2 linked regions of the Diceros bicornis minor genome follow. The protein of the gene in region 1 binds, or shares a complex with, the protein of each later gene. Links are inferred from orthologs where the notes say so. Each region holds a gene or a part of one and is shown on either strand. Other genes may lie near its edges.

What was found. The genes of interacting proteins can lie anywhere in the genome.
Region 2: CC2D2A (region 1) and MKS1 share a complex: the UniProt entries of both Homo sapiens proteins name them as parts of the tectonic-like complex. The link is inferred for Diceros bicornis minor from reciprocal best matches to the Homo sapiens genes CC2D2A and MKS1.

The regions. Positions count from the first base shown.
Region 1 is NC_080747.1:11,984,133-11,994,949, reverse strand, and holds the start of CC2D2A (coiled-coil and C2 domain-containing protein 2A), read right to left. Parts: upstream 5,558-10,817; 5' UTR 5,449-5,557; intron 338-5,448; 5' UTR 317-337; coding exon 278-316; intron 1-277. UniProt on the Homo sapiens protein: Component of the tectonic-like complex, a complex localized at the transition zone of primary cilia and acting as a barrier that prevents diffusion of transmembrane proteins between the cilia and plasma membranes.
Region 2 is NC_080757.1:29,465,628-29,476,489, forward strand, and holds the start of MKS1 (tectonic-like complex member MKS1), read left to right. Parts: upstream 1-6,393; 5' UTR 6,394-6,402; coding exon 6,403-6,482; intron 6,483-6,906; coding exon 6,907-7,016; intron 7,017-8,361; coding exon 8,362-8,432; intron 8,433-9,118; coding exon 9,119-9,274; intron 9,275-10,614; coding exon 10,615-10,712; intron 10,713-10,862. UniProt on the Homo sapiens protein: Component of the tectonic-like complex, a complex localized at the transition zone of primary cilia and acting as a barrier that prevents diffusion of transmembrane proteins between the cilia and plasma membranes.

The DNA.
Region 1 (10,817 bases):
TCAGGCAGAGCTGGACCCAGTAGTAGGTGGTACTTAGAACTGCTGTGTGTTGGAATTCACGACGTGGTGACAAAGCAGCTTCAGAGCATTCAAGCAGAGGGAAACCCTGGAGGGCCTGCAGCACGGCATTTCCTCCACCATCCACTCCCCTTCTGCATGCAGGAGGTGTGCAATAAATGTTTGTTGCTGGCCTAACTTCCTCACTCACAAACACGTGTGACATGAGTGCAGTACACACACAAACACATCCCTTGGGGGCATCTCAGCAACTACTTACCCCTGTAATTATTTTCACTTTTTCTTCCTTGGGATTCATTTTGGCTGTGAGGACTGCTCCCTGATGGGCAAAGAACAAACAAGAAGTCAGGCCTTTTGAGATCAGTGAGACATCTTCCTTACTGTTGATAAATATGAAGCTGACCTTGATGGTCAGTGAGGTGTTTGAGCTGAGTAGTCTCCATTCACAAGGAGTACATTCTTGCAGACCCAGGATTGGTGGAAACGAGCACTAGAGGAAAAGCAGGGATGCCAGACCCTCTGTCCTCATGAGCCTGGCTTTACTGTGTAGCAGGTGGGAGCCAGGAAAAGTTCTGCCCTTGGAGGCAGATGACCCTGGTTGGAATCCAGCTCCTGAAGGACTATTTCACATCTTCTCTCTCCTCAAATGTCCACCTTGCCACCCCCTCCTCACTCTCTACCCTTGATCTTGGTTCTCGTTTCATGAGCAAAGAGACAAAACAAGAGAGGGCCTCCACGTCCCCTGTCTAACCTCCCTGAGTCATGTCACCCCCTCTGCTTCCACTTGCTATCGTGACCTGTCCCTGCTCCCATCTGGGCCAGGGCCTCAGTGTGGGCACTGGTCCCATACCCTCCCCTCCTCTAGTGCCTTGATCCAGACAGTCTCTCTCTTTCATCTGGATGATTATTTCTTCCTACTCTCTTGGCTCATCTCCCTCAGTTTACAAAGTGCTGTAATTGGCCCCTTCGTTGAAAAAAGCTCTCTCTGGACTTCACATCTTTTCCTAGCTGTTGCTCAACTTTCAGCCCTCTACAGGAAAACTCCTCAAACCCTCTCTTTCCAAATCAGTGTTTTGGGCCCAACACTCCCTGGAACTGCTCTTGCCAGGGACCCTTGTGTCACCACATCTAATGATCAATCCTCAGTCCTCATCTTATTTGACACGTAAGAGGCATTTAGTCATGAAAGTGACCAATTACTTTCTTTTTCTTGAAATACTTTCTTCATTTGGCTTCTGGGACATGCTCTCCTGGTTTTCCTCCTACCCACTGGCTGCTCCTTTTCAAACTCCTGGGCTGGTCTGTCCTCATCTCCCAACCACTACATGTGAGAGTGCCTGGGGCCCAGCCTTGCCTCAACTCGTTCCCCTAGCCTTCTCGTCCTGTCTCTTGGCTTTAAATACCATCCACTCACTGATATTCCCCAAATTTAGATCCTGGGGCCACACATCTCCACAGAACTCCAGACTCAAACATTCAAGTGCTTGATGGATGCCTTCACTTGGCTTAACGTGCCCCAAACGAAGCTCTGCGTCATTACCCCTGAATCTGCTTGTCCTGCAACCTTCCTTGTTGCAATAAACAGAACTCCGTTTTTCTCAGGCCAGAAACCTGACAGTCATTCTTGACTCCTCTCTGACTCTCATATGCCACACCGCATCCAATCCATAGAAGTCCTGCCAGCTTGGCCTTCAAATTATGTTAAGAACCCAACCACCTCCAAGCACCTCCACTATTATCACTCTGGTCTAGCACCGTGGTCTCTCATGTGGCCTAGTGGGAGAACCTCCTATCTTCTCTGCTTCCCACCTTCTTACCTACAGTCCAGTCTCTACATTGAAGTGAGAGTGAATTATTTAAAATTTAAGTGAAATCATGTCATTCCTCCACTCAAAATCCTCCAATGACTTTCCTTTCTCAACAGAGTAAAATTCAAAATCCTTTCAATAGCATACAAGGCCCTACATGATCTGCACTTGCATCCTCTTGCCTCAGGGCCTTTGCACTTGCTGTTCCCTCTGCCTAGAATTCTCTTTCCCAAGATATCTGCATGTCTCTCTCTCTTTCAGTTCCCTCAGAACTCAGTTCTGCTCAACTTTCGTTTTATCAGAGAGGTCTTCCCTGTACACTCACAATACAATGATAACCTCCTGGAACCCCCTAACTGCCTTATAGTGATTTCTTTTTCCACAGTTCTTATCACCAGTCAACATATGTACTTATTTGTTATTGTCTGCCCGTTCCTATTGAAATATAAGCTTCAGGAGGGCAGGATATTCATTCGTTGTTTACCCCCAGAGTCTAGGATGATGGCACACAGCAGACACGCAATAAATATTTGTTGAGTGGAAGACTAAATCACTATATACTGACTGCATCTCCATGGCCACATTCTGGAGTGCTTCAAAGCTTCATCAGCCTTTTTGGGCTGCTGCGAAGCATGAAATGAGAAAACATGGCGAGAAACATCAGGGCTGACAAATCATAAGCCCTTCCTCATATCCGTGGAATCTGACTCCTAGCTGGGACTCAGTCATTTAAGCAGTTCATCTGAGGTATTCAAGGTTTCACTGACCCTAGTGGGGGATTAGCACGTTAAAGGGAAATAAAACATCTGAAATTCCATTGTCTCCCATCCAGACCTCCTCGTGGGCTACAAAAAACAGAGGAAGAGAGATGATGAAAGCAGCTAGGAAAACAAAAGGATGGGGAGGTAATCTAGAGAGAAGGAGGGGCAGATAATAAAAATGAAATGCCACAGGACACGAAACCTCTCTAATAAACACCTCTGGTAATTATGAACGGGAACAAAAGAACTGTGATATATTTTAGTGACTGAAAAAAGATTCTTTCTCAATAAATTAAAAAAATATATTGTATGTGAAAGAAAGAAATAGAAGTAGAAAATGAAAAATGTAATGGGGTTGATTTTTTTCTTCTCATTCTTTCCTGATCATTACTTTTGAATGAGTTTCTAAGGAAATCAAATAACATCAAAATTTATGTTTTCATGAACACTGTTGCTAAGAAAAGATAAATTAATATTGCCCCACTTTAATATGCAGCTTGTCATCTTGCGTTGAGCGCTTGTTAATATATTTCTATTGGTAACATCAAAATAAGAGCTGTGATTTACTGCAGACTTATTTTGTGCTCTCTCTAGATACATGTGATCATGAGGCCTCACAATAACTCTGCTAACTTAGTAGCACATGCCTCAATTTACATACGAGGAAACCAAGGTTTCCTCTGAGGTTAACCTCTGACAGGTTACATGACTTGCCCAAGGTGATAGTTATTCAACGTCACATTCAGAATTTGACCCCAAGACTGTGATCCCAGAGTCCTCTTCCGTGCCACTCTGCCTCACCATTTAGTCTCGCTTTTACGATGATATCAGTTACCATTCTATGCTAGCCAACTATTCTGGAAATATTGATGATTGAGTTGAAGTGGAGCATTGTCCCACTGAGAACGGGCTTTGGCTACTTTAAGTCAATGATTTATTTAACTCAGTGCAGAAACCACAGACATATTTCAAGGAAAGTAGTGACACCTTCATCCAAACAAATGGACTATCTCTGAGGGTCAAGAGGATCAAAGTCCTATCCAGGGGCCCCTGTGGCAAATTCTACAGGATGTAGGGGAAAAGGAATGAAGATATATGAAAAGGGCACCATTGTATGCACTGCATCTCAACCTTGGCTGCTTAAAAAACAATACAGTGGGTGCATCCTACTCCAGAACTGTGAAAACATGGGTTTATAGAAAGAGTGAGGCCTTTGTAAAAAATTATATGGACCTGGGTTCCAATTCCAGCTCTATTTATCAGCTGTGTGCTCTTGGAGCAATGCCTTCACCTCTCTGAGATTTCTACATCTGTAAACTTGCCATCATAAATCCTACCTCAGTGGGTGATGATTTTATAAGGGTTAAATGATAAAATGTGTGTAGTAAAATGCCTAGCTTGGACCAGGCTTTCAATACCAGTAAGCGTTATTATTAAAAAATGTGATGGTAGAGAGGGAAAGTAGAAGAATCGTGTGGGGAGGGAAAGAGCTTAGGGGACAGAAGGAGAGTCATAAGAAAGACCTTAGATCAGGCCCCCTGTACCATCTTTGGTTCCCAAGTTCAACTCTCTGGCTCTAATAACCAATATCCCCTCTCCCTTCCCTGAGCTGGGCCCAGGGCAGTTTTCTTTCTGTTTCTATTTATGGTGTTTCTGAAGCCTTCCCCTGCCCTCACACCCATGGGCATTTCTCCCTGTGTACAGTGCTTAGCTTTTTCTGTCCAGACTGGCAGAGCTGGAGCCTGGACCTACGCTGGGCAGGGGCCACACACACCCTTTTTAAAATTTATTACCTAATTCTACAAGTTATTCCAGCCGTAGCTTCCCATAGTTTAAGGTTAGGGACCTTAATCAGCTCAATATAACACACATCGCCCTTGAAGAGCACATATAAATCCCATATTTGAGCTGCGCTCTGTGATATATGCCCAGGGCGCACACACGATGAACCAGGTGCCCCCAGGCCCTCCCTGGGAGTAGTCTGCTGTGCTCTAAGCACTTTAAACCCTGTGATAAATCTCCTATGGCACTCAGCTCACTCTACTGTTATGATCTGTTTACAGGTCTGTCTTCCCAGGAAACTCAGAGCTTCTGACCTATCTTATTCACTTTTGCACACTCTCAACTTCAGCACATTGCCTGGTGCACTGTGGATGCCCGATAAATGTTTGAATGAAAGACTCTTTAAATGAGCTCTAGGAGAGAGATATCGAGAGAGATTTCATTCTGGTGCTGAATTTACTTGCAGAAAAGGTGATATGAAAATCCAACCACAGACTTGTATTTCCCATTAGATTTATTAGCTTTTCATAGCACCTCTTTGCAATGAAGGGAAATAATCAGCTTAAATCGCAGCCAGCAGATTATCTTGAGGTCTTTTGGAGAGAACAGCAATCCACAGCCCTGTGTCTGTAGTGGCCTTTTCTCTGTCTAATGGGAGGAAGGGTGAAGGCTGCAACAACTAGTACTTCCCCCCTCAAACAAATTGGAACTGAAAGGCCCAGAACGGCAACATGCAGCAAATGTTTCTGGGAGACCGGATGCAACAGGACGGCATGGAAGTCCCAGGCAGGAAGCAGAGGGACCGACCCTCTGGGAGGAATTCCACCCAGGGGCTGTGATGAGCCTGACTGACATAGCCTGCACACCAGACACCGGGCAGCAGCTCAATCTAAGCAGTCCAAGGAACGCTCTGTGCTTCAATTCCAGAAAGTAAAACATCAATAGTAATGATGAGAACCCTTAATTTACAGTTCATTAAATCCACTCAGGTTACCGAGGGGAGAGGCTGAACTCCAAGCCTGGGGACTGAGAGCGGGACACCATTGCAGCAGCCCCGCTCCCGGGAAGAACTGCTTTACCTTAAGGAACTTTACAAAGGCGCTGTGCAGACTCTGCTTTCTGGGACGAAGGGAAAGTGGAGAGAGACAGGTCCTATTGTTGAATCTTCTAAAAGAGTCCAAAAGGAAATGCTGAATGCTGGGGCGGCCCCTAGGCTGCTCCCTGGAAGCTGCAGCCAAGTCTCCAAGCAAAAACACCCGCTTAGCAACCCGTTCCTAAGGAAGGTCACTCGGTGGCTTTTTTTTCTTTTAAAGTGGCAGGTTACTTCCAGCAGTGGAACACAACAAACATGTGGGGTGATCAGAGGAGCACAGCCTACAGGAGAAGGACAAAGAGAAGTCAGCTTGGGGGACCTGGGCAAAAATTAGGTCAAGTTGTAAGATAGCCTCCCTCATGTCATCAGGGGTCACTGGGCATTTCTGGTAAAACACAGGCGATGCTCAGAGGTGGGTGGTTAAAACCATAAAAGGCCGCAGTTGTAGGGTGAGGGTGTCCAGCTTATCCACAGCAAAGGCTTCCTGGAGGGGCTTTGGGCACCAGCGAATGTGGCTCTGGAGTGTTTTCTGGTTAAAGGTGGAAGATTGAACGTACAGGCTAATCTCTGCTTATTCTCTGAATCCCTCTAAAATTACTGAAAGAGGACATAAATGTTATGGCTCAAAAAAGCAAAGGAAATGGGAGAAGAGGCAAAGTAGATAGACGAGTAATGGAATGAACAGACCAAAGAAAGCCACACTCCAAGTATACGTGTGTATGTGTGTGTATTTGGGTCTCTGTGTGTATCTGTGTGTCTGAATGTGTGTATGTGTACGTCTGTGTCTATGTGAGCCCGTGTGTATGTGTCTATGTGTGTCTGTGTGTCTGTGTATCTGTGTGTATGTCTCTGCGTGTGTAAGTATCTGTGTACATGTCTCTGTATGTGTATGTATGTGTGTCCCTGTGTCTCTGTGTATGTGTATGTCTGTGTGTGTATCTGCATGTGTGTCTGTGTACATGTGTCCGTGTGTGTCTGTGTGTGTATGTATGTGTGTCTCTGTGCGTGTATCTGCGTGTGTGTGTGTGTGTGTGTGTGTGTGTGGTGGTGGGGGGCAGGTAGCAGTAAGAATGAGGAAATGACCTGATCTACTCTGCAGAACTCCAGAGAGGCTCTTAATTAGGCTCAGTGGTGTTATGGGTTGAACTGTGTTACTCCAAAAAAGAAATGTTGCAGTCCTACCCACTGTACCTCAGAATGTGACTTTATTTGGAGATGGGGTCTTTACAGAGGTAATCAAGTTAAAATAAGGTCATTCGGTGGGCCTTGATCCAATATGACTGTGTCCTTTTAAAAAGGGGGAATTCAGGCACAGAGACGGACACACACAGAGGGAAGATGATCTGAAGACACGAGGAGAACACCATCTACAGTCCAAAAAGCCACCTTTCTTCTCCAGGGAAGTTGAACCAGAGACACTAGGTCTCAAGTTCCCAGGTTTGGCAGAGGGTGGGTGAGTCTCAGGGCTGGAAACTGGATACAAAATGGAGAGGTGGGCAGGTTGCTCTCCTTTTCACAGAACTGAGGCAACTAAACATATATCTTTAGGTCCCCCTGTGCCACCTCCACAGGCATCAAATTGGAAAACGTGAAATATTGTTTTCTGGAGAAACTGAATAGCCACAAAGACTAGATCCAAGATATCGTCGTTTCTGAATTCTCCAATGAAAAAACAAGCATATCGCCCTTACAAAAAAGTATTATAGAGAAAATGAGAGGATTTCAGGTTAAGAAATTCCACACCTGTAGTTATAGAAAGAGAGAACCAAGGAAATGAAAAGGTAGAATTTATCAAAGCAGTAATATTAGAAAACATCTCAGAAGTGGAAGAACAGGCTTTTAGATTGAAAGAGACTATCTATTATTTAGTGCTGGCATAAGGAGACAACAAGAGAACTTGTAGTGTGTGCTCTGCATACGGTGGAAAAAATATTCTCCAGAGAATTCATAACCATTGGCTTGCACTATGCTGTTGAAGCATCTTGTTTATGCTACCTATATCACTTAGGAACCCCCTAAGTGACAAATTTTAAAAAATGGTCTCAGGCTACTGGATCCCTGTGGGGTGCCAAGCAAGAGCACAAAAGAAAAATACAAAACTTTTCTGGAGGGACACACTTTCAAGTAGTCAGTTCAGGATGGCCACAGATTAACCTTGCTGAAGATGAGCTCACAATCCAAAATTAGACAACACAGGGGGAAACAATCAAGAGTCTGCAGACAATCAGAGAGCACTACTAGATCCTCAAGAACTTCTGATAATACAATGATCAGATGGAGAATATAGAAAAACAATGACCATATAAGAACTGAAAAGGAGGCTTTGAAAATATGAGAAGAGTGAGATGCTATCAAAAAGATTAGGCAAATGTGAAAAAGAACCGGCTAGAACTTTTAGAAATGAATAGTAAAGTTATGATTTTTTTTTTAAAGCAAAGGATGTGTTAAACTACTAATGAGAGAGCTGAAAAGAGAATTAATGATGCAAAAGAGAAATTTAAAAAATTAAAATGTGGCACAGAAAAATGGAAAATAGGAAAGAGTGGATCAAAGACATGGTGGAGAAATTGAGTGGTCCACCACATCTAGTGGAGTCCCAGGAGAGAAGAGAGAAAGAAGTTGAATGCAGGATCTTAAGGTTGAGGATCTTCAACAACTTCCTTAACTTCTCTAGGCTTCAGTTTCCTCATCTGTAAATTGAGGTTAATAATAATAATAGTGACTACTCCAGAGGGTTGTTATGAGATTTAGTAAGTTAATATTGGTCAAATCCTGGCACATAGTAAATGCTGTAAGGTTTATTAAATTAAAAAAGTGTGGATGTTGTCTTAGCTCAGGCTGCTTTAACAAAATACCATAGAGCGGGTGGCTTAAACAATAGAGATTTATTTTCTCACAGTTCTGTAGGCTGAGAAATCCAAGATCAAGGTGCCAGTCCCTTCGGTTTCTGGTGAGAGCTCTCTTCCCGGCTTGTAGATGGCTGCCTTCTTGCTGGGTCCTCACACGGCCTTTCCTTGGTGCATTGGGATGGGGAGAGAGAGAACTCTCTCTTCTTCTTCCAATGGGGCCGCCAATCCTATTAGATTAGGACTTCACCCTGAGGACCTCATTTAACCTTAATAACCGCCTAAAATCCCTGTCTCCAAATACAGTCATATTGAGGGTTGGGGATCAACATGTGAGTTTTGGGGGGACACAGTTCAGTCTATGGCAGAGGTTTACGGTAAGAGATCGTGTACTCAAAGTGGTCAACTGTCATAAGAGGTAGGATTTGTTCACCACTCTTGTGCTAATAACCTTCTGATTATGACCTCTCTTATCTTTTAATATTTAACTAAACTAAACCAGTTCATAAGAATTATACATCTCCTCACAAAGGTCTGAAATTATTAAAAAACATCATTCAAAAACATCATTTCTTGCAGAAATTCTGATGCAAGCAAAATAAACGAATCTAGCAGATTTGTTTTAAATCAAAATGCAAAAATCTCACTCTTTTAGGTTAAGTGTTCCTAGCTGGCTAAAGAGTTCTTAATCAAGAATAAGTGTTGAATCATGTATCACGAGGTTTTTTCCTGCATCTTTTGAGGTAATCAAATACGATTTTTCTTCTTTCATTTTTTAATGTGGTGAATTACATTAACAGGCTTTTTAATGTCAAACTTTTCTTGCATTCCTGGGATAAGCTAAACTTGGTCGAGATGTTTAAAAGATTAATTGTTGGATTTAGTTACTAATATTTAGACTTTTTGGCTTTACTTTCAAAATTGAGATTGTTTTTCCTTTCTTGTATTATTTTAGTATAAAGGATACTCTAATCTCAAAACAAAGCAGATTAATCTCTCTGTCCTTCTCTGTCTCTCTCCTTCTGTCTCTCTGTCTCTATTTCTCTCTCTGTCTCTGTCTCTCTCTCTCTCTCCCTCTCACACACATACATGCAAACACGCACACACATGCACACGGTATCTGTTCTGTGAACTTGTCTATAAAGTCTTTTGGGTCTGGAGATATATATTTTTTTATTGTGGTAAAATATATCTATATAACAAAATTTGCATTTGGGCCATTCTTCCCAGTTTTATTCAGATATAATTGACATATAATATTGCATCAGTTTTAGGTGGATATGTATTCATTCACAATGTTGTGCAACCATCACCACTATTTCCAAAACTTTTTCATTACTCCAAATAGAAACTCTGTACCCATTAAACAATAACTCTACATTTCTCTCACTGGTAACCCAGCCCAGCCCCTGGTAACCTCTAATCCACTTTCTGTCGCTATTCTAGTTATTTCATATAAGGAGAATCATACAATATTTGTTCTTTTGTGTTTGACTTATTTCACTTAGCACAATGTTTTCAATGTTCATCCATGTTGTAGCATGTGTCAGTACCACATTCCTTTATAAGGCTGACTAATATTCCACTGTAAGGATATACCACATTTTGCTTATCTGTTCATATGCTGATGGACACTTGGGTTGTTCCCCCCTTTTGGCTAGTGTGAATAATGCTACAGTGAACAGTCACATACGACTATCTGTTCAAGTCTCTGTTTTCAATTCTTTTAGGTATATACTTAGCAGTCAAATTGTTGGGTCATACAGTAATTCTCTGTTAACTTTTTTGAGAAACTGCCAAACTGTTTTCCATAGCAGCTGAACCATTTTATATTCTTGCACATCATCACCAATATTTATTATTTTCTATTTTTTGATGATAGTCATCCTAGTAGGTATGAAGTGGTATCTCCCATGGTTTTAATTTGCATTTCCTTATGAGTAGTAATGTTGAGCACCACAATTCATTGAGCTTATTAGCTAGTTGTATATCTTTGGAGAAACAGTATGTGTGTGTGTGGGGGGGGGATGTGACTGTAGCTCAATTTTTGACCACGGATTTAATTTCTTTAATGCTTATAAACCTATTCAGATTTTACATTTCTTCTTTCAGTTTCAGTATATTATATATTTTTAGGAAATTGTCCTTTTTCTTTGTTTTTAAATTGATTGGGATAGCATTAGTCAAAATATTACTTATTATTTTTAAACTCTGATATACCTGTAGTTATAGCCTTCTTATTATTCCTAATAATAAAAATCCTGTGCTCTATCTTATTATGCCCCTGTGGTAGTTTTAAAACAAAACCTACAAATTCTTTGACTTTCCTCCCAACAAGAAGTGGGGTCTATTTCCCTTCCCCTTGTATCTGAGTGGATTTATAATCACATTGACCAGACAGAGTATGGTGGAAGTGATGCTGACTTGCTGATTGATTTCTGAGGCTGAGTCACAAAAGACAAAGTGGTTTCTATGTTGTTTGCTAGAACTTATGTAGTTAGAGTCTTGA
Region 2 (10,862 bases), on another chromosome or scaffold:
TATTTACAAAAATGCAGCAAGAATAGCAATTGATCTTATAGACTCTTTTAAATCTGCTCTGCTGGAACTTTTTATAAGGAATCTCATATTGAACTTTATAGGCCTCTCAAGGCCAGGAAAGCAAAGCCAAAGACTTGTTATCAGAGTGAACCTGCAATACCTACAGATTTGGTTGAATTCCTCTCTTTTCAAGGTCCCCCAAAATATCCTGTGGTTCTTTGTACCCGCCAGGGAAGTAACTTTCTTTACTCACCTGTTAAGGTTGCTGGGAACTCTGTAAGCAAGGTACCAAGCCAATATTTCCAAGTGGCTTTATACCATAAAGTTGACCTTTGTTCCTCAAAAGCTGTCTGGTCATATCTGGGTCTATGCATGTTTCTCTCAAATACGACATTCCAGTCAAAGCTTTGGCAATATAACCAATGTTTTTAGTTGTGTCCTGTTATAAGGAGAACAGACTCTTACTGAAATTATGTAAATAACTATATTGCCATGAAAATAACAATACTTACTCACTAAGAGTTTCCAAATTCTGGAGGGATCAGGTAGGGAGAAAAAGATAAATGTTTCAATTCTGCTTACAAAGGTATAACTTACTAAGTTGCTATAAGTCATAGTTAGCTTAAGAGAAAAGAGAAAAAGGTTTCCTTAAATATGGAAAAACAAAACATTAAAAAATCAGCAATATTTTAAATGAAAAGTTATAAAAATTATAATCATACTCATCAGTTTATTGAGTCTCATGTAATCAACTCTTGATCTTGATCTTCTTTACCAGTTTCATGAAGTTATCAGTTTTTCCATTAGAGTTCTGTAATTTCTTTTATTTATTTATTTATTTATTTATTTTTTGTGAGGAAGATCAGCCCTGAGCTAACATCCATGCTAATCCTCCTCTTTTTGCTGAGGAAGACCTGCTCTGAGCTAACATCTATTGTCAATCCTCCTCCTGTTTTTTCCCCCACAGCCCCAGGAGATAGTTGTATGTCATAGTTGCACATCCTTCTAGTTGCTGTATGTGGGATGCGGCCTCGGCATGGCCCGAGAAGCGGTGCATCGGTGCGTGCCTGGGATCCGAACCCGGGCCACCAGTAGTGGAGCGCACGCACTTAACCGCTAAGCCACGGGGCCGGCCCAGAGTTCTGTAATTTCTTACCCAATTCAGTTTAATGATCTGAAAGTTTATCAGAAACCTGTATTCTAGAGTAAGCGTCAGAGTCCTTTCCATGAATTTCTCTGAAGATGAAACATGTTTGCAAAAGCAGAGTAAAACAAAACCGTCTGTAAATGACAAAAGACTTAAAAATGGCAATTGATAAAAATAAAAAAACTTGGGGGCTGGCCTGGTGGCGTAGCAGTTAAATACGTGCGCTTCTCTTCAGCAGCCTGTGGTTCGTGGGTTTAGATCCCAGGCATGCATTGACGCATCGCTTGTCAAGCCATGCTGTGGTGGCATCCCACATAAAGTAGAGGAAGATGGGCACAGATGTTAGCCCAGGGCCAATCTTCCTCAGCAAAAAGAGGAGGATTGGCATCGGATGTTAGCTCAGGGCTAATCTTCCTCACACACACACAAAAACAAAACAAAACACAAAACTTGGCCATTTCTGTGACACAACACTAAAATAATAATTGGAATTATAACTGACAACCAGGATAGATCAGCGTTTTAGGAATGTTATATAATTTTTTAAAAACACTTATATCAATAACATTTACCCACATAATGTCATAGGTTCCTATGAAACAATGCTTAGTTATCCATTTAACCAAAGTGACAATTAGATTTTGAAGGCAGAGAGAGCCAAACAGTTTAAAAAAGCTTAATAGAGAGACTTCAGCCTTTTTGAACATAGGAAATTATTTTGACAAAACATAGCTTTTCTTTCTTTTACGTAGATTTACTCAAAGGTAAAGAAAAACCTTTTATAATTTATTATTAAGAGCAGACTAAAAGTTTAAGAAAATTATCCTTTCAAGAGAGAGACAACCAAATTCTAATTTTGCACCAGCTTATTTTTGATATTAAAACTCATTTACTTAATTAAATCCACTTTAATCTTAGCCAACTTGACCATGTACAAAATTCTTTTCTCAGTTTTTCTTTTTATAAACCTTCTATAACCTTTTTAACAAACAAAAATCTTTATTTCTCATACCTTCTTTACTGAAAACATACATCTTACTTTCCTTGAATACAAAGATGTTTTCCTTATCAATTTTTAGTAGTTTTAATCACATATTAGAATTTTTAACCCTTATAGACCTTAATTTTTAGTGAAAACTGAGAAGTAAGCAATTATAAACTGTCTTTTACAGTAGCATTCTGTGGCTTGGCAAGTTTATAAACACTTTTCATAATTTCTAGAAACATGCTACTTCATAGTACAATCTTTTTTTGTGTATGTGAGGAAGATCAGCCCTGAGCTAACATCCATGCCAATCCTCCTCTTTTTTTTTTTTTTTTTTTTGCTGAGGAAGACTGGCCCTGAGGTAACATCTGTGCCGATCTTCCTCCACTTTATGTGGGATGCTGCCACAGGATGGCCTTACAAGCAGTGCATCAGTGTGCACCCGGGATCCAAACCCAGGCTGCCAGCAGCGGAGCACGTGCACCTAACTGCTACGCCACGGGGCTGGCCCCCAGTACAATCTTTTAATAAAACACAAGACATGTTTTCTAAAAGACCTAAACACTTTTTAGTTTCTCTGTAATAAGAAGCCAAAAGTAGATGAACCTATATTAATAATTAACATCTAATATTTTATCTTATTTAGAAACGATCTTGATATTCAGTGAAATTTCCATCATTTAATTTAGCCAAGCAAAACTTCAAAATTTCAAGTTACTAAAGAGATTTTGGAAGTTATTTTAAATACTCATGCCATAAAATATAATTATTGCTAAAAGTTTATCTATAAACTCTTATCTCACTTACATCTAAATCATTTGCTCCCAACAACTATGTTTAGATTACCCACGAAAACTTCATGAGACATTAGACAAAATTAGCTTATCATTTTAAGCTATTATTTTCCTGACAAATTTTTAACAGAGATAACATGAGCTTATTTTTTAATTTTATTTTATATTTTTGCTGAGGAAGATTCACCCTGAGCTAACATCTGTGCCAATCCTCCTCTATTTTGTATGTGGGTCGCCGCCACAGCATGGCCCCCAATGAGTGGTGTAGGTCTGTGCCCAGGAACCAAACCCAGGCTGCTGAAGCAGAGTGCACTGAACTTAACCACTAGGTCACAGGGCCAGCCCAACATGAGCTTATTTGACTAGTAAACCCAGGCTGCATGTCTGCATGATATCCAACGCCGATAACTCTGAGGACATGTTTATTTCAATCAAACCAACAAACTTAAACAAGTTTGCATTTACCAAAGATTGTTTTATATCATGTTAACTTGAAAGACATTTGAATTAGTTTCTATTACATTTAGAAATAATTTATGTAAGTGCTTACTTTAAGCCAATTAAACAGAGCTCTTAATCTTGGCCATAGCTTCCAGAGGTAAAATATCACACATATATAATATACATATAGACACACATACACAAAGACTCCACAGCTACTGTTTTAAAACTTTAGGACAATGTACCACACCTTTAAAAGTCTGCATAAAGCATTTAACAAAGGCCTTCTTTCTAAGTGTACAATTTAATCCTAGACCAATTTACCTTGGGTGGGGAGGAGCTTTTATTACCTTTTTTTTTTTATTAGCACCTGATATTAGCCTCTAGTTTTTATCTCATACAGTACAGGCTCAGGCAACTCTATTGACTTCCCTTTAGTATATTTAATTAACATTGTCTGAAGGGCAGATTTATATGCTGTCTTACAATCAGGCAGGGGAAATGTTCCCCAGTAAGACAGGATGTCTATCCCCATAATACGATCTATAATACAATCAGGCAAAAAGAGATGCAATCACTTCACATAAAGCCCATAAATATATCAATTTTCTACAAAATTTCATCTGAATTCCATTAACTCTTATACCTCTAATGATAGTTCCATTAGGACTTTATCAATAGGTCTCAGTCTTATAATATTGGAAGGGGAAGTGTTCCCAGCCAGATATAACGTCCATTTTCAAAACACACTCAGGCAAAGTTGATATAGCCTCTGTACAATATTAGCTCAAACACTTCAACTTCTATAATCTCATCAACACTTATATTTTTACAGTTTCTCAATTTAATTGTAACCTGAGTCAGGGTCTGAAGGCTAGTCATTATTTGTTTTGTATTTCATTTTTAATTTGGTCTTTTCATAGTTACCAATAAAACAATTATGATGAGAGTTCTCAAAAAATGTTTTATAATTTAGAGAAGTTTTTCCAATTTAAATGATCCATCATCTGGCCACATTGAGGAGGAGGATCTTAATAGCTACTCAAACTGATACTGAACTTCTTAATCTCAAGTTCATGTGCCTGGTGTGCAGTAAACCAATCGCTGAGATATCAGTGCTTGGAGATGGAGAAAGGTTTATTTGAACTGGCCACACGAGAAGTCAGGAGGATAGGTTCTCTCAAATCTGCCTTAAGAGAAGAAAGCAAGGGATTTTATAGAGCTAAGTGGCTTGGCAGGAGGAGTTTCAAAGAAACAAAGGAGTAATCCATGTTTCTTTCACTCCCGATAAGCCCCTGGGCAATCTGACTTCTGGGTGTCCACAGCAGCTGGGGGCTGGTTATCTGCGGATCCTTGAAGGCATTCTTTTTCTTCTGTAAAACAAGCTCATAAATCCTTGTGATCCTTGAGTCACTCCTCAGGTTAAACAAGAAAACAGCAAATTGACAAGATTAACTTATTTTCATCTACGCCTGTGTTGGGAACAAGGTTGAAAAGTAATCTTATTGAATATTTACAGTAACCCTCAAGTACCTGGCTTCAAAACCAATAAGCCTTATGGCTTAACCATGGACACGGAGCCATCCCCAAAACATAGTGCAAAAGAAGCAGCCCTCACAAGATCCAGAAAGTTCATTCACAAAAATACTAAGAAAGCAAGGGCCTTCATTGCCCAGGCAGTAAGACCAGCATTAACAAGCCACAAAGGTTGAGATGACAGAATTCCCTTATGAAAGCAAGTGGGATGCCTTATGACAAACCCCCCTGAGAGCTGATACAGCCAGACAAAGAGAGTGCATCTCAGACCCCAGTCTACTCGACTGATCGCCAAGATGCATGCCAGTACCTGCATCTTCTGAATGGTGGAGACCAAAAAGGTCACAAAGCCAAGCTCTCAAGACATAGACACAAAGACAGAGACAAGGAAAAATAGTGACTATCTCTGGGAGGAAAAGGATCAATAAATAAATCAATGAGTACTCAAACCAAATTTCCCAGAGTCGCTGAGGCCAAGAAGCTAGCTTCACCAATATTTTCTCCTGCTAATCTAAATTTAGAAAAGGAAAAACACTCACCACTTTCGCTTCCATTGGACCATGCAGGCAGAGATCCGGGAGACTGACCTGGAAAGAACTCTTACCTCCTGCCGGCTCTTGTCAGGGATCCAGGATCTCTCTCAGCTGCAGTAGTCCAGGAGCAAGCAGCCTCCAGCCAGTTAAGTTTTGCCCCATCCTGGTCACCAAACTGTGGGGGAGGAAGGCAACGTACATGGTGATGGAAAAGCAAATGTTGGATAAGCAAATGTTTGCTGGGCCATCTACAGACAATGAGACACGGAAGCGATCTTTTGAGAAAATGGCCCTTGCTAGATGCCTTCCTGTCTACCACACCTAGAATTATCTACAGTGAGAGCGCCTTGCTGGGACAGGTCCTTCAATCTTAAAGCCTTTTAGGCAATTAGGGGGAAGGTCAAAGTTTCCTTTAGGGTCTTTTGTCCTTCAAAATAATCAAGCCAAAGAGACACATTTTGGGGTGGCAAATTCTGATTCCCCACAGTGCTATCACCTTACGTGACTTTTTTGGGAAAAATGGGTGCTTTCTGTGAGTCACATCCACCGATTTTCAGGCCAAAGTTTCCGATCACTCAGTGGAAGGCAGTGTGATGTGGTGCAACAAGTAGTGTTTGAGAACTCAGGACACCGGGGTTTGGTCCCCATCACCATTTCTGAATCTATTTGAAAGGGGCCGATGGCTCTGCCTTAGTTTCCTCATTTGTAAAGTGCATCAAGTCCAGCCTTGGGTGTGAGCGACCTTTGTTCTCACGCGCTGCAAACGGTGGCTCGCAGGACCCCAGCTTGAGCGTGCACACACGCTTCGCCTGGCCTAGGCCCCTCCTGGGGGGGCTGCGGCAGCGCGGCGCCGCTGACCGCGAGTTGCGCGCGCAGAGCCTCCACACCTCACCAGCCCAGCGTCTCCGTTGCTGGGGGAACGGAGCGACGCGCTTTCCGGCGCAGTCGCGGCGCGTCGCAGCTGTCATGGCGGAGGCCTTCTGGAGCACTGACACCGGAGAGGCCGTGTATCGCTCTCGGGACCCCGTGCGCAACCTGCGCCTCCGGTAGTCGCATCGCCCTACCTAGAGCCCCGTGCTTTTATGCCCTTAGATAATTCGAGCCCGAACTTCACTTCTCGTTTGCTGAGGCACGCACATCCGCCTACAATCCTGACCACTGCCTCCCCATTCTCCTCGCGTCGCCCTCACTGCCCGGAACCTTCCGCACTCACAGCTTCCAGACTCTCCGAAGCCCTTTTAAGACCCTGCCTCTCCCAGATTCCTCGGAGCTCTGTGTCCCCAATACACTCTGTCATTCTCGCCCTTCTCCTTAGGACCCCACACCCCGCTTACCTCCCCCTCTGTTGCCTGCACCCAGTACACCTTGGTAGCCTCACCCTCTTCTGTGTTTTGTTTCCATCTTTGCTCTGTGTTCATCTCCTAGTTGTATGTCTTGTAACGAGTATTTCGGGTTCCCTTTTCCTGACAGAGTCCACCTGCAAAGAATCACATCAAGCAGCTTCCTCCATTACCAGCCTGCTGCCCAGCTCGGGAAGGACCTCATAGACTTGGCCACTTTTAGGCCTCACCCAACCGCCAGTGGGTGTATGGTGGTGATGCGGCCCCTTGGGGATCTGGAGAAGTGCCTGGGGCGGTAGTTACCTCTTAAGACAGAGTAGACCCAGGTCTCTCATCTGAGAAAAGGCATAGATAGGTTGGGTTCCTTACCAAGGGTCACTCGGCTGGGTAAATGTTGAAGCCAGATTTAATCCCAGGCAATTTTAACTACTCCATTATGTTGAGTATGACAATTGAATATGACATGATTCCTGCCGTCAAAATACTGATCTGAATTGTGGTCAAATATAATAAAATAACAGAGGCCATACTTTAGATATGTTATAAATCTGCCTGGAAACGTAAATACCATTTGTGGCATTTTTTTCTAAGAGAAAATCTGATCCAAATACTTTGTAAAACGATGTTAAAATTGGGGTCTGCTTGAAAGATGTACATATTAACATCAACTGCCCTCTTGTGGTTTTCCTTATTTGGGAAGCCAGAAGAGTGAGGAAGCGAGGACAGTGTGTTTGTGTTGTCACTATTCTCTCTGCTTTTATTGTTTCTGTTCGTATATATTCCTGGACAAAAGTATGGGCTGATGGTTGTGAAGCATGTAACTCTGAAAAAGGCATACCCAGCCAGGAGTGTATTAGATTTGGTTCTTTTTTTTTTTTTTTTTGTGAGGAGATCAGCCCTGAGCTAACATCCGCCAATCCTCCTCTTTTTTTGCTGAGGAAGACGGCCTTGGGCTAACATCTGTGCCTATCTTCCTCCACTTTATATGGGACGCCGCCACAGCATGGCTTACCAAGCAGTGCGTCGGTGCGCGCCCGGGATCCGAACCAGCGAACCCCGGGCCGCCGCAGCGGAGCGCGCACACTTAACTGCTTGCGCCACCGGGCCGGCCCCAGATTTGGTTCTTTAAATAATCATTTATTTGCCTTTCCTCTTCTTGCCTGATACTTGGTCTCCTAAGGGTAAGTGCTTGTGATTCTAGATATATGGCTTCAGGGATAGTAAGGATAACAATGCCAGGGTTCCTTTCTAGCAAATGTAGACAGTTGGGGTTGAGGAAGAGCTCTTCAGCCTATATCTAAATTTCAGCTCCTGACACTGAATTAGATTAAATAATTCCTGGAAGGCATGACTCATTTTTATTCAAATTAGAGTCATAATTAAGACTTCTTGGGTCCTAATCCTGGCTTCTACACATGTCCACAGCCTCTCTAACCTTTGTGTAGAGTGAGTGCTTAATAAATTGCTGAACTCCACCTGGTTTTGTGGCAAATATTAGAGCAGGGACTTTGGTTATAACCAACCACAGAGCAAGAAGTAGTACTGCTTTGGCTCAAACGTTTGACGCACTCTGTTGTCTTTGGAGGTGGACACCGCCCAGATGAAGATGAAGAGGAGGAGGTCGTGATTGGGTGGCAGGAGAAGCTCTTTAGCCAGGTAAGCTGGTGTCACTTGTCTGCTAGGTCTACCTCCACCTGGCTGTAGCAGGGAAGGATCTTTGATACATACTGCCAAACTGATTTCTAGAAAGGTTGTAGCAGTTTATATTTTCCCCTGTTGTGTTTATAGGGGCAGTGTAACATAGTGACTGCCACTACCCAGTTTTATGATCCTGAGTAAGGCACTTTTCACCTCTGGGCCACGTGCCGTCTGTAACAGCAGAGTTAGATGAGACCATCACCCTGGTTCCTTTTAGCTCTAACATTCTTTGGATCCCCTGCCCTCCAGTGCTTTAGATAAATTGAGAGTTGGCTACGAAAACATGTCAAATTGCATTAGCTCTATAGAACTGATTTGACTAAACAGTTATAGGAACAAAAGTTTGACATATTTGGGGCCTGCCCCATGGTGCAGTGGTTAAGTGCGTGCGCTCAGCTTCCAGGGCCCGAGGGTTCACAGGTTGGGATTCCGGACGCGCACCGAGGCACCGCTTGTCTAGCCATGCTGTGGTGGCGTCCCGTATAAAATAGAGGAAGATGGGCACACATGTTAGTCCAGGGCCGGTCTTCCTTGGCAAAAAGAAGAGGATTGGCATGGATGTTAGCTCAGGGCTGATCTTCCTCACGCACACACAAAAAAGTTTGACATATTCTCAGTAGATCTCTGTCTCATTGTGACCTCAGTTTGAAGTAGATCTGTACCAAAATGAAGCAGCCTGTCAGAGCCCTTTGGATCATCAGTACCGTCAAGAAATCCTGAAGCTGGAGAATTCGGGTGGCAGGAAGAACCGACGAATCTTTACCTACACTGACTCTGATAGATACACCAATTTGGAGGAGGTATTGTTCTTTCGGAGGTCCCATAGCTTCCGTCTCCTTTCCCTCCCCTAGCTTTCTGGCCTCACTGGGTTCTGTGTGTTAAATTAGAAGCCTGTTAGGGAGAAACAGACAGCCTGTCGAAGAACTGCCTTGTGCTATTGGCAGCCAAGCTGGAGTAGAGTGGGCAAGTCTGCAGGTGGTGTGACCTGCTGCTCCCTTCTCTGCCTGCTGGAGGGCCTGGGGGAGCTGGCAGTGTCTCTAATAATAGGCTTACAGACTACAAACCAGAAGAAGCAGCTTGACTTCCTCCATGTATCATGAGATAAGATAGGTGGGTGGAGTCTCGAACCATCTAGATAAAATTCATCAGGAGATTCAGTCAAAACTCTTGAGTAGGGGCCAGCCGGTGGCGCAAGCAGTTAAGTGCACACGCTCCGCTGCAGCGGCCCGGGGTCTCCGGTTCGGATCCCGGGCGTGCACCGATGCACCACTTGTCAGGCCATGCTGTGGCGGTGTCCCATATAAAGTGGAGGAGGATGGACATGGATGTTAGCCCAGAGCCAGTCTTCCTCAGCAAAAAGAGGAGGATTGGCGGATGTTAGCTCAGGGCTGATCTTCCTCACAAAAAAAAAAAAAAAACAAAACTCTTGAGTATATGGGTTTGTAAAGGAATTCAGCATAGCCATGGGGAATGGCTTATGTCCTCAATTTGTCTGTGCCTACAAACCCTTGTGGACTTGTTTTACATTTTCTTTAGTCATTGTATAATATGTTCTATCTTCTCAGTGAGATTTTAAATTCCTTGAGAGTAGAGCCTGTATTTTCTGATTTTTGTCTGTGACCTTGTAGATCTCTGCAAGGAGCAGGTGTTACATGAATGTTTTTGAAAGATTGATGCTTATATTAGGAAAGCAGTGGGTTGGTAGTATATAAAATTTGGGTTGTCTTTGGAAAAGTAAAGCAAATTGCAGTTAGCGCTCAGTTACCCATGTGAGGATCACAGAATACTTGTATCCCATTTGGCGTCTTCCAACTACCTGGTTAATGTCAACATCTACCAGGCAAACTCACCCAACTTTTCGTTGGTATGGATTGCAAACTCATTTTAATATCAGCATAAATAAACTCATTTCTGAAGGATAACATACAGCTAAAATCTTAGGGCAAACCAAAGCATGGTAGGAATCTTATGCGGATTGTTTGTGCCACTGCTCCCCTCTGTTAGTATGTGTAATTGTGAGGTGGCTGTACCTCTTAGGTTCAGGTCTTGGATGAGGTTTCAGAAGGAAGACTTGCCTTCAGGTACTTGTCTCTTGTGGCCCTGACTAGATGGGTTACACAGGGCTGCTCTCTTTTCCCAGCACTGTCAGAAAATGACCACTGCAGCCAGCGAGGTGCCATCATTCTTGGTTGAGCGAATGGCAAATGTCAGACGGCGACGGCAGGACAAGCGAGGGATGTGAGTGCAAGTGTATACGGGGGCTCTGGGGAGCCTTTGTGGTCCTTCGTGCCGGTGTCCTCGATATGCCCACCGACTTGAGCTTCCCATTCTGCAGTAGGCCTCCACCTGGGTGTGCTCCTCTGTGTTCCTCCTTCAGGCTATTCAGGG